2 linked regions of the Tamandua tetradactyla genome follow. The protein of the gene in region 1 binds, or shares a complex with, the protein of each later gene. Links are inferred from orthologs where the notes say so. Each region holds a gene or a part of one and is shown in the gene's direction. Other genes may lie near its edges.

Region 1 (6,983 bases):
CCCTGACATGTTCATTCCACCAGCAGTCATTGCAGATGCCTGGGTAACAGCAGTGTGCTTTGAGAATAAACTGTCCAAGGCATCAAAGCCCGGAACCACGAGCTGCTCAGCTTTTAGGCGAGATATGCAGGTGAGCGAAAAGCCACTAGGGGCTGCAGTAGAGATACTTGTTCCTCATGGAACAACTGGGGGTGGGGGTGGGGGGCGGTGTGAGGAGGGGGTAAATGGGCAGATGTGTGGCTTCCAGTCAAGCTGCACTTCTGGGTATCGGCTGAGAGAGGGAATGTTGGAATCATCTGGAAAGGGCTTGGACAGGAACGAGAAGCCCAGCTCTCCTTCTGGGATGGACTGAAGTTAATTCACCTGTCAGGATTTGCCTCCTCCCTTGCAAAAGAGGGAAGCATGGTGGAAGGGCAAAGAAAGGAGTTAGAGACCAGAGACCAAAGAAAAACATCTCTGAAAATCAGGAGGAAATCCTGGGAGAGACTGGGAGTACAAAATCAGGGAAGGCAAAAAAAAATCGAACTGTAGGTTAGCAGCATGCAAGCTCCGGAGGTAGAAGCTGCAATTTCAAAGGTAAAGCAGGTCCTTGTCTTCATGGACCTCATTGTCCAAGACAAAACAAGCACTGGACAATGAGCATTCCCAAGAGTGAATGTTCTTGCCCCAGAGAAGTAGATGCCTGCCTGGCTGGCTGGCTCCCTCGGCTCTCTGCTCAGCCTCACACCCATCCCCACCCAGCTTTTCACCCACTCTTCCTCCACTCTGTTTCTTTAGCTCTTTATTAAAGTATAATTCATGCATACAGGAAAAGTTCACGTCACAGGTGTGCAGCCCACTAGATAGATGTTCACTAACCGAACACACACACACAACAGCATTCACCGAACAACCAAGAGGGCCTCCTCTCATCTGCCTCCTTCCGGTCTCAACCCTTCCCCCAGAGATACCCTCTCACCTCATTCTTAACAGGGTGCATTAGTTGGGCCTGCTTTTTGTGCTTTATATAAAAGGAATCACACGGAATGCTCTCTTTTGTGATGGTTTCTTTCCCTCAACGCCAAGTTTGTGAGGCTCATTCCTGTCACCGTGTCATTGTGTGTGGTTTTAGCTCATTCATTCTCATAGCTCTAGCGCATTCCGTGGTGTGAACGCGACCTGATTCATCGCATTTCTGCTGGGTTTGTAACTTGGGGTGACGCTAGTTCACAGGACCTATTTTATTGTTTCGAAGGTTTTTAAAAACTATTAAAACGTTCACATATTAAATAGAGGAAGACAGAGAGAGTGTGTGTGTATAGAAAAGAGACTTAGAACTTCAGAAACAGAAGATTACCGGTATTTTTGAAGCCCTTTGTCCCTCTTCCTGATTCCCTTCCCTTCTCTGCCCCGGGGATGTAACCATTATTCTAAATTTTGTGCTTATCATTCCCTGGATCTTCTTTACCATTTTGCCACACGAACATATAGCCTTAAACCATACATTATTTCATTTTGCACGTTTTCAAACTTGATTTAAGTGGAACTCTGCTTTGTTTTTCCTTGTAGTACTTCTTACTATTTAACACATTTATTTTCTTATTTTGTTATATGGCTCACCTTCACAGCTCCTTGAGAACAATAAATAACATGTTTTTATTCACCCTGTACCCTCAATTCCAGAATGAAATCTTCTGGATTTCATTCCAAGAAGAGTGCCTGGGACACAGAAGGTGTGACATAAGCATTCACTGAATAAAGGAATGAACAATTTTGCTCTCCGCTTGAGTAGCATGATTTGAGCTGTTCGTGAAAATGAAGATGCTGCTGATGGTGACAAGTACTATCCTGCTATGGCTTCCTCTGGGTTAAGAAATAGGAAAGCAGGAAGTTCGGAGGTAAAATTAGTCTAAAAAATTAATTACAAATAGTTGGCCCATGGAGCGATTGAAAAAGCACAGGCCTGAACATCAGAAAACGCCGGCTAGAGTCTGGCTTTGCCACCCGTCAGCTGTGTGCTCTCTTCACCTGCAAAAGGGAGGTGATATTACAGGGTGATATTACCTATAGTTAGGGAGGGAGGGAGGGGAGAATGAAGCCACTGTGAACTGCTAAGCACAGAGAAAATGGTACCAGAAAATGCCATCAACGTCTAAAGCGAGGGGAGGGCTTGCAAATTAAGCATGTCCACAGAACCTTCTCTCTTTACATTCTCTTCTAATTTAATTTTTATATTATAACTTTAAATATGTACCATAACTCTTTTTTTTTTTTGTATGCTGTATGGCGGGGTCACATTTCATTATTTTTCCATATGAGCATCCCATTATTGCAGCACCATTTGTTGAATTTTTCTTTGCTTGATTTTTGTTCTGGGGGATGCGCGTGGACCAGGGATCGAATCCATGTCTCCCGCAGAGCAGGCGACAGCATAACTCATTTTTAAAAAAGCATTTGCCTTCTTACATTAGCTTTTCCCCTCAAGGAGCAGTACATATATTTTTTATCCAGATATAACTCATATACCATAAACTTCACCCTTTCCAAGTGAACATTCAGTGGCTTGTAGTATATTTATAAAGGTCTGTAACTGTCACCACGAATTCCAGAACATTTTCATCACTCCACAAAGAAATTCCCATTCTCCTCTTTCCCCCAGCCCCTGGCAACCACTGATCTTTCTGTCTCTATGGATCTGCCTGCTCTGGACACTTCATATACATGTGTCATACACTATTTTTCCTTTTGTGTCTGGCTTCTTTCCCTTGGCATAAAGTGTTTTCAAGGTTCATCCATGTCCTGCCGTCGATCAGAACTTTATTACTTTTTTCGGGTGAATACTTTTCCAGTATACGGCCAAAGCACAATTTCTGTATTAATCATTAGTGCTGTTTCCAAGTTTGGCTACAACCAATAATGCTGCTACGGGCAGTATTTGTGTGATCGTGTTTTCGATTCTCTTATACTCGAGTGGAACTGCCCGGTCACATGGTATTTCTACGTTTAACTTTCCGAAGAGCCAGGGAACTGTTTCCCACGGCGGCTTCACCATTTTACGATCCCATCAGCAACGCAAGAGGGTTCCAGCTTCTCCACATCCTCGCCAACAAGAAATTGTTTTATTTCTAGAATCACCTTTCATTTTACCTCACCAAGAAGGCCTTAGCTACAGCACTATGGTAGCAGGTCCGGAAACTGTCCAATCAAGTTAAAACACGCATCCCCCCTGTTTACACACACGTAGTGATGGTGCAACATACAAAAGTGACTGCAAGGCACGGGCTCTCACTTTTCCCGGCAGAGAAGAACCAGCACCGCAGGCGCGTCGGGCGGCCCGGGACTCAACCCGCCATCCCAGGCTCCGCACCAAAACCGCGGGGCCAAGGACCCGGGGACCATGTGCCGGCAGCAGGCATAAGAGTAACATCTGAACAGCTTTCACGTGCGGGATTTCATTCTGGTCGCTCGTTTTCTAGGGAACAGGTCTGAAACCGTGAAAAGGACTCGCCTGAGGCCCCACTCGCGCCCAGCCTACGGCGAGGAGAGCCTCGGGCGCGGCTAGTGCGCACGAACACACCACCCCATCCCGCCCCGCCCCGCCGCCCCGCCCCGCCCCGCCCCGCCGCCCCGCCCCGCCCCGCCGCCCCGCCCCGCCCCGCCCCGCCGCCCCGCCCCGCCCCGCCCCGCCGCCCCGCGCCGCCCCGCCCCACCGCCCCACCGCCCCCTTCTCCTCCCGCTCATGCGCTTCGGGGCGGGGAGCTAGGTGCTAAAAGGGGCCTTTGACCAATCGGCGCGCGCCCTCGGGAGGCGGTGATTCGCACTGGCAGATCCGGCGTGATGACGTAGCCCAGGCCCCAATCCGCATGCTAGGGCGGGGCTTCAGCCCGGCGGCCGGGGCAGAGGACACCGCCCACTGGTTGCACGTGACCTGGGTCCGGAGCCGGAAGCTACCTCTCAGGCCGCGAGCGCCCCCGGTACCTAAGGCCTGCGATGGTGAGTGAGGACGCATGCGCGGGAGGACACGCCGGGGGGCTTCGGGTCCCCGTCCCCCAGCTTCCTTGGTCACCCCCAGACCGCCCTGGCCGGGAGGGAATGGAGACAGGAGGGGTGGCGACGTGGAGGCCTGCAGAGGGACCTGGGGGAGGGTGTACGGTGGCTGGGGAGGGGTCTGCTAGACCGGGGCACGAGGGCGTTGGAGAGGGGTCTGAGTGAGGGGCTAGTGGGGCTGCGAAGGGCTTCCTGGGGGCTGTCAGGGTGGGAACCTGGAAGGCCACGGGAGCCCCGGGGCGGGGAGACTGTGAAGACAGACGAAGGCTCAGCAAGTCAAAGCACAGAGCAGTGGGGAAGACCGCGTGGAGGGAAGAGGGTCTCCAAGGGTCCCGGCTGGGAAAAAAAAGCCTGCGGGACCGCCGGGAGAAGTTGTTTGGGGTCAGTAGGTGAAGGGGACGGAGAGCCATCTTCCTGTCGTGCTTCTCACCGGTTGCATCTTCATCCACTAGACTTCTGCACTGACCCAGGGGCTGGAGCGAATCCCAGACCAGCTCGGCTACCTGGTGCTGAGTGAAGGTGCAGTGCTGGCGGTGCGTTCTGGGAACCTAAATGGGGTCCTCTAATATACGTGGCCCGGTAATCCCTTCAGCATTGCCACTAGGAGCCTCATTTGTCTGTTGGCATTCATTCCCTAGTATCGTGGCCGTCATATAGGAAGCTTTCAGTAGTTAATTAAATCTCTAGAATCTTAGTCGCTAGTTTTTCTGAGGTATAAGACTTGACCAGAGTCACACAACTAGTTACAGGCTTGTTGATAACTGACACGAGCTGGGTTGTTTTTGAGAATGTCTTCATTTGTATTTATTGATGAAGGTTTGTATTTTGTTGCACACCACAGTAGAGTGTGAGCTTTCTAGACATTTCATCTAAAGAGACAAGGCTTAGAAGCTATGTCAAAAATTGAAAGCAAAGTGAGTAGTAAGGGCTACTGAAGGAGTCCAGAGAATGAAGGAACCAGCCCTCTGTGTTACTTTGTATGTTGTGTTTTGGTAAGGAAACTTTCTTAGAGGAGGTAAGAATTCAGCTGAGCTTTAAAGGATGGATGGTTATGGACAAACAGAAGGGAAGGAGAGTATTTGGGGTTGGAAATTGGACGTATTTGCAGGAGTGTGACACCAACCTATTTGAACTGGTTTTATGTACAAATGATTTGGAGTAAACAGAGGATACTGTAATGGAAAAGTTGATTGTGAAGGACTTTTAGGGCCAGCTTCACATGTTTGGACTGAATCTTGAGAACAAGGAGCTGTTGAAGGTTTTGAACATAAACTTGACCTGATGAAATGGCTTAGTGGTATGAAGGTGAACTGGAAGTGGCAAAGTTTAGAAGGCCAGAGGTTGTGCAGTAATCCAGCGGTGAGACTGGGCTGGTGGCAAGGAGAAGGAGAAAGGAGAGAAGAGATTTTACAGGAGGAATCAGTATCTTGGTAATGACTGGATATAGGGAATGGAGGAGATACTTCACCGGTAAGATTTTGAACTCAGAATCCCTGAAGAATGAGTGTGCCTTAAGAAACAGGAAATCGAGAAAGGCAGTTGTCTGGGGAGGATGAGGATAAGGGAAATTTTGATGGCTTGACTTCAGGCATTGAGTCTGAAGTAGAATTACAGTAAATTAAATTATTTTTCACCAGGAGCTGTTCTAAGCATCTTGCCAATCTTACGTTTATTCCTTACAAGCGTGTAAGGCATGTACTCTATGTCCCCAGTTTACAGATGAGGAAACTGAGGTACAGGATGTCCGAGAAAGCAAAGGACAGTGAACTTAACCTAGTGGGAGGCCCATATTGATATGGTGGGAAAAGGAAGTTGAGACAGGCATAGAAAAGAGGAAGCCCAAGCCACTGGCAGGCACATCACTGACCCAGTTGTGGGGGAGGAGGTAGAAGTTCAAGGACAAAGAGGATGATTGTGTTTTACACTCCATAGACAGGGGACAAATGGAAGACCAAGAAAGAGGAGGAGTTTTTAGCAAGTCAGTGGTCATTTTGAGGGACAGGTATTGATTTTTGAGAATGTGGAAAGAAATTATATTTCAAGGGACTAGGAGAGAGTGGTCAGTAAAGAAATGGATGAGAGTCGCTGCTCTTCAGTGAAACCCAGTAATATAAGGATGAGAAATAGGATGACACCAAAAGGAGGCTGTCACATCAAAGGAAGGTCTTAGGTTTGTTTTCCAAAATGGGCATGTTGCAGATGCTAGAGCCAAAGTGAGTGGAATTCCTTCCCAACTCTCTTCGCTAATTTCTCCCATCCTCCCCTGTCTGCACGCAGTCATCTGGGGATCTAGAGAATGACGAGCAGGCAGCCAGCGCCATCTCTGAGTTGGTCAGCACGGCCTGCGGGTTCCGGCTTCACCACGGCATGAACATACCCTTCAAGCGCCTGTCTGGTGAGCTGTAGCACCTCTCGTGGGGTGGAGGGTCGGGGGGGGGGGGGGGGTCGCTCCCAAAGGCTGCTTCTCTCCTTTTCAGGGGGTGAAAAATCTTTCTCCTTACAACCTTCCACATCTCCTGGGGTCCCTGACTCTGGCTCCTCTTCCCTTAGGGGTTCTCCCGTGCATCAGAGTTGAGTATGAGAACGCAGGGGATTTCATGAAAGCCTCTCATCTTCAAGTCTCTGAGCCTTGAACCATAGAATTTCTTGGGCTTTTGATCCCAGCCAGTTTGAGTGACCACTGGAGGTCATTGCACCCCACTAATTCTGTGCTCCCTTCCCTCTCCGGGGTGGGGGAAGGTGTGTCTCTCCTCCAGTGGTCTTTGGAGAACACACACTGCTGGTGACCGTGTCAGGACAGAGGGTGTTTGTCGTGAAGAGGCAAAACCGAAGCCGGGAGCCCATTGACGTCTGAGCCTGCAGAGGGCAAGGGTTGGAGAAGGCCAGCTGGGTCCATGAGCCTCTTGTGATGAGGAAGACGCATATGTCCTCCACCTCTTTTTCGGCTTGCTGCTAGA
Region 2 (7,492 bases), on another chromosome or scaffold:
GAACTGTACCTATGGGTAACACCAACCACACTGAAATACCTGTTTACCTATCCCACTTCCCTTTGAGACCAGGAACTTCTGCAAAGCTAGGCCTGTGTATTTTCATCACTGTACACCAGGGTTTAAAATATGGCTGCCGAATTAATGAATGAATGAATCAGTCAATCAGGCAGTGTAGGACAAGGCAGGAATAGGCTAGGTAGGGAATGCCTGGGCTCTAGGTATCCCCCTTCAACCCAACCTTCTCCCATACCCACCTGCCTCATGAGCTCAGGGTTGTTGAGCATGTGGCTAATCTCGGGGTTCCGCTCCATCAGCTGTTGCATCTGAGGGTTGGCCATGATCATGTGACGCATCAGGTCAGGGTTAGACATCATGTCCTGGACCAAAGGGTTCTCCATGATCTGCGACAGCATCTCAGGATTGGACATCAGCTGTCTCTGCATCTGTTGCTGCAGCTCCATGAAGTTGGCAGAGCCTAGGCCCAGGCTGCCCAGCCCCAGGATGCCCCCAAAACCAGCTGTGGGGAGGGGGCAGGGTCACCATCTGCCACGATAGCCCTTCCCTAACCTGGTCTCCAGAATGGGCCCCATCTGTCTCTGCCTCTCATATCTCCCTTTTCCACTTACTCCCATAGTCCCAGCCGTGATCCACGGCTGGCAAGATGTCAGTTTACTAGCCAAGACCTCTTTGATGGTAGAAGCTTAGATTACCCCGAGCTGAGCACAGTACCTAGCTCACCGTGGGCAACCACTGGCGGCTTGTTGAATGAACAAATAAATATTCTCTAGCTAACCCCAGCCAGGTCCACCACTTTCCCAAACTCACGGGGTCTTCCAAAATCCTGACCTGGGTTTTCCACATCCCCAGCCCCATTTCTCCCCTTACTGCTAACACTCAGCCATGTTCCCCTCCTTCAGGAAGCCCTCGCACACTGGTCTTGGCTGAATACCAGGGTCTGGAACCCTATGTCCAGAAGCCCCCCGCCCTCACCAGACCACCAGACCAGAGCAGGGACCATCCTTCTGCCTGCTCTTGGCTTTCCCTCACTCCCCAGACCAAGTAGGACTGTGTTCTCCTTTCTAGGGGCTTACAGAGTATGGAGGCGGGAGCACTGGGGGGTCCCTCCCCAGCCCCTGGGGAGGGACCGCCCCCACTGCTCCTTCGGCTTCCACTGCCAGTATCTGAAGTGGTGCTGCCAGAGGTAGAGGGCTGGGCAGGGGTGGCGGGCGAAGCAGGTGTCGTGGAAGGTGCAGAGGCAGGGTCTGGAGTGGAGGGGGAAGAAGCAGTCGTAGCAGCCGGATCTTGAGCCCTGGGGACAGAGAAAGGAGACTCTTAGGTGGGTGGAGTGGGCACACAGAGAAGCCACTGCTCTGATTCAAGCTACCTGCTGAGGGCCCCTGAGGCAGCAGCAGGGGAAGGGGTGGTCAGTAAACCAGGGAGAGGGAGGAAGGAGCTAGTCTTATCTGTCTTCAGGGCATTGTGGGAGGAGTAAGTCAATTTCCCTTCTCCTAGAGGTGATATCATAGTGCTGCCAGGCAGGACATCCTTGACACAGGCCGTCCAGGTCCAGCTGAGCCATGGGTGAGAAAATGTTAGACGGGGAAGGGAAAGGAGGGCCTAGTCAGAGGCTGGGCCTGCTCATCTTCTGAACTTACTTCTGAGGAGTCTTGATGACCAGGTGCACAGTGAGTCCATCCTTGATTCCATGCTGGTTCAGTGTGTCCCCATCCTTGAGGATCTTTCCGGCAAAGATCAGGACGAGCTGGTCCTGCTGGGCCTTAAATCTCCGAGAGATTTCCTCTTTGAACTGTGACCAAGAGGCAGAGGTCACTGAGGAGGCTGCCAGCCCAGACCCACCAGGGACCCTGCCCCTCTCCAAGAGCCTCTGGCATACCCTTGCTCCCACTCTAGTCACGGGAATTTCTTTCTGCAGTCTCTTCTCCACCCCTCCAGTTGCAATAAGCAGCTCCTTTCTTAACCAAGATGGACCAGTGAGAGGCTCCTCTCTCAGCTATATTCCAAGGTCTTCCACCCCAAAAGCCCTTGCTCTGACATCCTACCTTCAATCCCTTCACCCAACCCCCTATGAGGGTGCTAAATGGGCAGCCCTCTCCATCCCAACTCCTTCAACAGTTTTAGACCCAGGCCCCGTCTCCCTTCAGCCTTCTCTTCTCAGACTCCAACTTTCTATCTTTCTTTATTCCCAGCTTCTGCTTCAGCCATCTTTGAACTACAACAACAAATAGCCCTTGATATTCATCAGTTAACAGTCTAAATCCTGGGAGATATTATCTCCACTAGAAAGTTGAGAAAATTAAGGATCAGAGAGATTAGGCAATTTACTCTGCTCAGAATGGGACTCAGGCCTTGACACCCAAGCCCACGCTTGCAACGGCCTGGACACACTGCTTCTCAATTAAAACTGATTTAAATTTCAGCTTCGCAGAGGAAAGAATTTAAATTCTGGAATAGAGTCATTTTATAAAGTTGGGGGGCAGGGATGGCACCGAGGGCTAGCTTGGGGAGAGTTAGACTCCCCAACTATCAGCACACTCCCAACAAAAAATAACAATCATTCTGAGGAAAAACAGTGCACTTGCTAAGCAAAGGCAGCTTCCAGAAGCCCTCCCTTCCAACCAGATGGCCTATCTTAAGCCCCGCCTATGTGAAATTTTGGAGCAGCCACTGGGGGTGAGAAACAGAGGCAATATTCCCTCATTCACTTATTCAACAAATTTTTATTGAGCACCTACTGCACACTGCACAAACCCTAGAGGAGCTGACCACCAAAGGAAACCACTTCAATTTGAAAGAATCTGGGCAGAGGAAAATCCGCCCCCTACTACCCCAGGTTTTCTCCTAAAACGGTGGGCCTCCTCTGAGGCATAGAGTAGGCACCCGGTGCTCTCCTGCGTCCGTTCTCTTGTTTCAGCACCTTGCCTGGACTCCCTACTCTGCCATAGCGCCTCGAACCCCGACCAGTAACCCAGGGTTCTTCTCCCGTCTCTGTGCAAGTGCAGAGTGCTCTCTGTGCAAGGGGGCCCCCTCCTCACCCTCCACCACGCCCCCAGTCCTGGCCCCACGGCAAACCCCGTCCCCCCCAGCACACGCCATGCTCCCCGGATTTACCCTCGTAGGGCGCTCCCTACCAGCATCTCCTTCCCCACCGTTCCTCGGGGTTCCGGCTGGACCCTCGCCTTCCTGTCCGGGATCTTCCCGGACTCCCCGACCGTCCCTCAGGACCGCCCCCCCCCCCCCATCTCTCCGCAGACCCTTCCACGGCGCGCGGTCCCCGCCACCCATACTACCTCCTTGACCGAGGCTCGATCGCAGATCACAATTTCCTCCTTGTCCTTCGGGGTCTTGACGGTGACCCGAATGGGGGGCCTCGTCTCAACCCCGCTCGGCTCCGCCATGCCGCCGCCGCCGCCACCCGGCCGCCCGCCAGCCCGTCCGGGCCCCTCCTCCTCCTTCTCCACCTCCTCCTCCTCCTCCTCCTCCCCGCTAGCCCGGCCCGCCCGGCTCGGCTCGGGTGCCTCCAACACTCCCCTCTCCCCGCCTCTCCTCAAGGCTTCGCCACCCGCTCCGGACCTGCCGCAGCCACAGCGCCCCGGGCGGCCCGGGGGGGCCACTGCACCGGGTCCGCCCAGGGCCGAGCCCTGCGCCCGGGAGCCGGCTCTGGGGCTCGCCGGGCGGCGGTGGGGGGAGGGGCGCTGGGCGGGGGCGGGGGGCGTGCCCCTTGCCGCGGGGGCCCCGCCCCAGCCTCCCGGAGCCGCTGGGAGGTCCAGTCCTTCCCAAAGCTGCCCCCGCCCCCTCCGCGGGTCACTCCCGCGCCGGGACAAAGGACCTTCTGTGTCGCCGCTTTATCTCTGCTCCGTGAGATAACTTGGTCCTTCTCGGGAGGCCCAGTTCTCTCCAAAGGCTGGGCCTTCTCCCTCCTGACGTGAAGGCTGAATTTTCCCACCTCGGGACGTCCACCTAGGACCTCATCTCTACAACTGTCCCCATCCTCCCGAGGGATGGGGCCTTAATAAAGGACTGTTAAATATGGTTCCCGAGACCTGGGTTTGATCTGCGTGGCCTCGGTTTCCTCCTGTCTTTCTGAGCCTCGGTTTCCTCAAGATAATAGTACCTATCGCCTCATCCAAAAGAATTGTGTATAACACAGGACATTGCTTTGAAAAGTAACCAAAGGTGTACTTCATAACTACAAGGTTTTTCAAATTATTGAACCGTGGTTTGCCAAGCGGACGTGACGACTTCTCCCCGAAGGAGTTAAACCTCCTTGTAGGACTTCTGTCCTTTTACTCCCGCTCTTTTCCCCCATAACCGCGTGGTCTGACTGGAAAGGCAAACTATAGTTCCCAGGGTGCCCCGCGACCGCACAGGAACTACAACTCCCAGAGGCCTCCGCGGCGGCGGGGGTATTGAGTCAGACCCGCAATAGGCCGGGAAACTACAACTCCCAGGGCGGTCGGGAGCAGGGCGGCTGGACTACCGGGAGTGGCCGGCGGAGGCCAGCAGGCGGCACCTCGGCGGATCTGTGTGCGAAAGTTCCGGGTTCGGAGTCGCAGGCATGCTGCGCCCCAAAGCTCTGACCCAGGTGCTAAGCCAAGCCAACACTGGAGGCGTCCAGAGCACCCTGTGAGTGCGGACCGAGGACCCGAGCGGCGCGCGCTGAAGCCCGAGTCGGGCGGCGGGCGGCTGTCTGAGGGAGGGTTGGGGAAGGACCGCCCGGAAGGGAGGAGGCGGCAGAGGGGGCAGAGGCCTGGGGAAACCGGCCGGGAGGGCCCCTCTCGGAAAGGGAAGCGGGGCGTGCTTGAATGTCCGGGGCACGGTCCCGAACACCCTCGGCCCGGACACTTGCTTCCAAGAAGCGCCGGTAGTGGGGTTGTGATGGGACCCCAGAGGTCCTACTCCCTGTCTTAAGCACACCGATATCCCTCCCCACCCCTCGCCAGGCTGCTGAATAACGAGGGATCGCTGCTGGCCTACTCGGGTTACGGGGACACGGATGCCCGGGTCACCGCGGCCATCGCCAGTAATATCTGGGCCGCGTACGACCGGAACGGGAACCAAGCGTTTAACGAAGACAATCTCAAATTCATTCTCATGGACTGCATGGTATGGAGAGAAGAGCCTAGCTTCTGTCCTCCAATGGGGATTCCCACGGGGTGACCCGGATTCCGCCCGGATAGTCAGAGGGGCAGGAACGGGAGCTCTGGACGAGTACTAAGAGCTGGTGTGCGACAGCACTTAGAGTAAGCAGGACCCATTGCATCAGGTGGTGTTGAGGAGGGAGCCCTGGACCCGAGGTCTGATTGAGGTTCTGGTCTCTGCCAGCTACTTATCAGTTGTGGGACCTTGGGCAAGTCACTTAAGTTCTGGGAGCTTCCTTACTTCTCTAAGTTGGAAACAATACTCCTTCCCCCCACCTTTCCTGTCTCACACAATTGTAGTGAAGTTCAAATGAAAGAATGGATATCAACCATACAGTGAGGTACAAACACAAGGTGCTGTCATCCCAGGTTCAAAACCTTAGAGCTGGCAAGGTCTCCAGGACCTAGTCAACTCCTTTTACAGACAAAAGAAATGAAATCCAGAAAAAGGAAATGGACATTCCACTGTGAACTGCGTGGAAATAGGAACTGTCTCACTCATGTCTGTACATTCAAGAAATATTTACTTGAATGTAAATATAGTTTTCTCCAAACTGAAGGGAAAGTAGTAAACAGGATAGACAAAAACCCCAGTCTTCGTGAAGCTTAAAGTCACATATTTTTTATAATAAGCTTGGTTAAAAAAAAAAAAAGTTTGGTCATGGAAATGCTATGTAGAAAAATTAAGTAGGGAAAAGAGATAGAGATTGTAGGGGGCATGTGTTAGAGTCTCACTAAAAAGTTTACAGTTGAGCAAAGATCTGAAGGAATTTGGGGAGTGAGTCATGTGGCTGTTGAGGGAAAGAACTTCTCTGACAGAGAGAGCAACAAGTGCAAAGGCCCTGAGGCAGAAAGGTGCTTGGTCAAGGAACAGCAAGGTTAGTGTGGTTGGAGTGGCATAAGCATGGGAAAGAGTAGTAGAAAATGAAGTCAGAGAAGCAGGGGTGTAACACCTGGTGCCCCGCACACAGTGGATACCTAATGAAGGTCTGCTGAACCAAACTGAATAGACCCCAAGGTTGAATTGCCCAAAAGATTCTCCATGGAGACTCGGCTGGCTGACTACCTCTTCCCCATCCCCTGTCCAACCAAAGAGGCCATTTCAGTTCAATAGATGACTCCTATATTGTGCCTAGACTAAAGCTGGTGCTATAGGGCAAAGGTTTTCAAATATTCGCGACTGCAACCTAGCCATAAGAAATGCATCCACTAAAACAAAAGTTTCATGAAACATGCAATGCACTTCATTTCTCTTCTTTTTTATTTTTAAATGCTGATCTACTTTCTAAATTAATTTAATCCTAGGTCAAACCTCAGTTTGAAAAACCTTGTCATGGAAAAAGAAGATAAACATAAATTGGGTTACTATTCCCAAGCCCCTCTCAGTATCTTTGGGTTGAGCCCATAATAATGTCATCCATTTGGACAGGCTGTTACAGATACAAAACTCATTCATGTGTGATGGTACCCACACCAGCTAGGATGAGACAGAAATTACAGAAAAAGAAACTGAGTTTCTGATAGATAAATGAGTTTCCCAGGGTAACTTGGAGGTGGCTGTGCTGAAATTGGAAGCTGGGCTCTGGACTCTAATGTCCAAGGCCATGGCCAGAGCACCCCCCCCCCCCCGCCCCCCACCCACCAGCTGAACCTTCTGTGCCTTAGGCATGGAGGGAAGATAGAGTCTGTCTGGGGCAAGAGGAGCCCTTGTGGGAGGAGAGGGACCAGGGTGCCAAGCAGAACATCACATCTCCCCCACCAGGAGGGCCGTGTGGCCATCACCCGAGTGGCCAACCTTCTGCTGTGTATGTATGCCAAGGAGACCGTGGGCTTCGGGATGCTCAAGGCCAAGGTGTGTATGTGCCTCGTTCTTCCATAACCCTGGGCACAGCCTTCAAGCTCCATCACCATGGCCACTCCCAGCCCCACTACCTTACCCTTCTCACATCCACCCAGTGCATGCCTGGTGTGGGCTAATTCCTATGAGCGGGCTGAGGCTGGTGATCTGTGCATATGGCATTGGGGGTAGACCCTGGATTCAGGATCCCTCTACCAGCAAGCCAGTGTGGGACTAATTTCTGTTCTCCGCCTTGCAGGCCCAGGCCTTGGTGCAATACCTGGAGGAGCCCCTCACCCAAGTAGCGGCATCCTAATGGCCACAGACAGAAGCTGGGGTCACAAAGGAGAGATGACCATTTGGGGGGGCAGGGCCCCTGGGAAAACCTTCCTGAACTGGGGGAGGAGAGGAGAGGTTTTTTTTTTGTTTTTTCCAAGAATAAACTTCAATTCCTCTCTTGTGTATTGCTACTTTCTTGGGTCTGAGGAATTGA

The links.
Region 2: LAMTOR4 (region 1) and LAMTOR2 share a complex: the UniProt entries of both Homo sapiens proteins name them as parts of the ragulator complex. The link is inferred for Tamandua tetradactyla from reciprocal best matches to the Homo sapiens genes LAMTOR4 and LAMTOR2.

The regions. Positions count from the first base shown.
Region 1 is NC_135349.1:8,406,581-8,413,563, forward strand, and holds the start of LAMTOR4 (ragulator complex protein LAMTOR4), read left to right. Parts: upstream 1-3,973; 5' UTR 3,974-3,986; coding exon 3,987-4,040; intron 4,041-4,478; coding exon 4,479-4,559; exon of another isoform or gene 4,560-4,578; coding exon of another isoform or gene 4,579-4,605; intron 4,606-6,303; coding exon 6,304-6,421; intron 6,422-6,782; coding exon 6,783-6,880; 3' UTR 6,881-6,983. UniProt on the Homo sapiens protein: As part of the Ragulator complex it is involved in amino acid sensing and activation of mTORC1, a signaling complex promoting cell growth in response to growth factors, energy levels, and amino acids.
Region 2 is NC_135330.1:9,089,234-9,096,725, forward strand, and holds LAMTOR2 (ragulator complex protein LAMTOR2), read left to right. Parts: upstream 1-4,429; 5' UTR 4,430-4,579; coding exon 4,580-4,647; intron 4,648-4,964; coding exon 4,965-5,127; intron 5,128-6,924; coding exon 6,925-7,014; intron 7,015-7,258; coding exon 7,259-7,315; 3' UTR 7,316-7,461; downstream 7,462-7,492. Other genes in the region: UBQLN4 (ubiquilin-4), read right to left, coding at 258-520, 1,095-1,312, 1,659-1,810, 3,312-3,419. UniProt on the Homo sapiens protein: As part of the Ragulator complex it is involved in amino acid sensing and activation of mTORC1, a signaling complex promoting cell growth in response to growth factors, energy levels, and amino acids.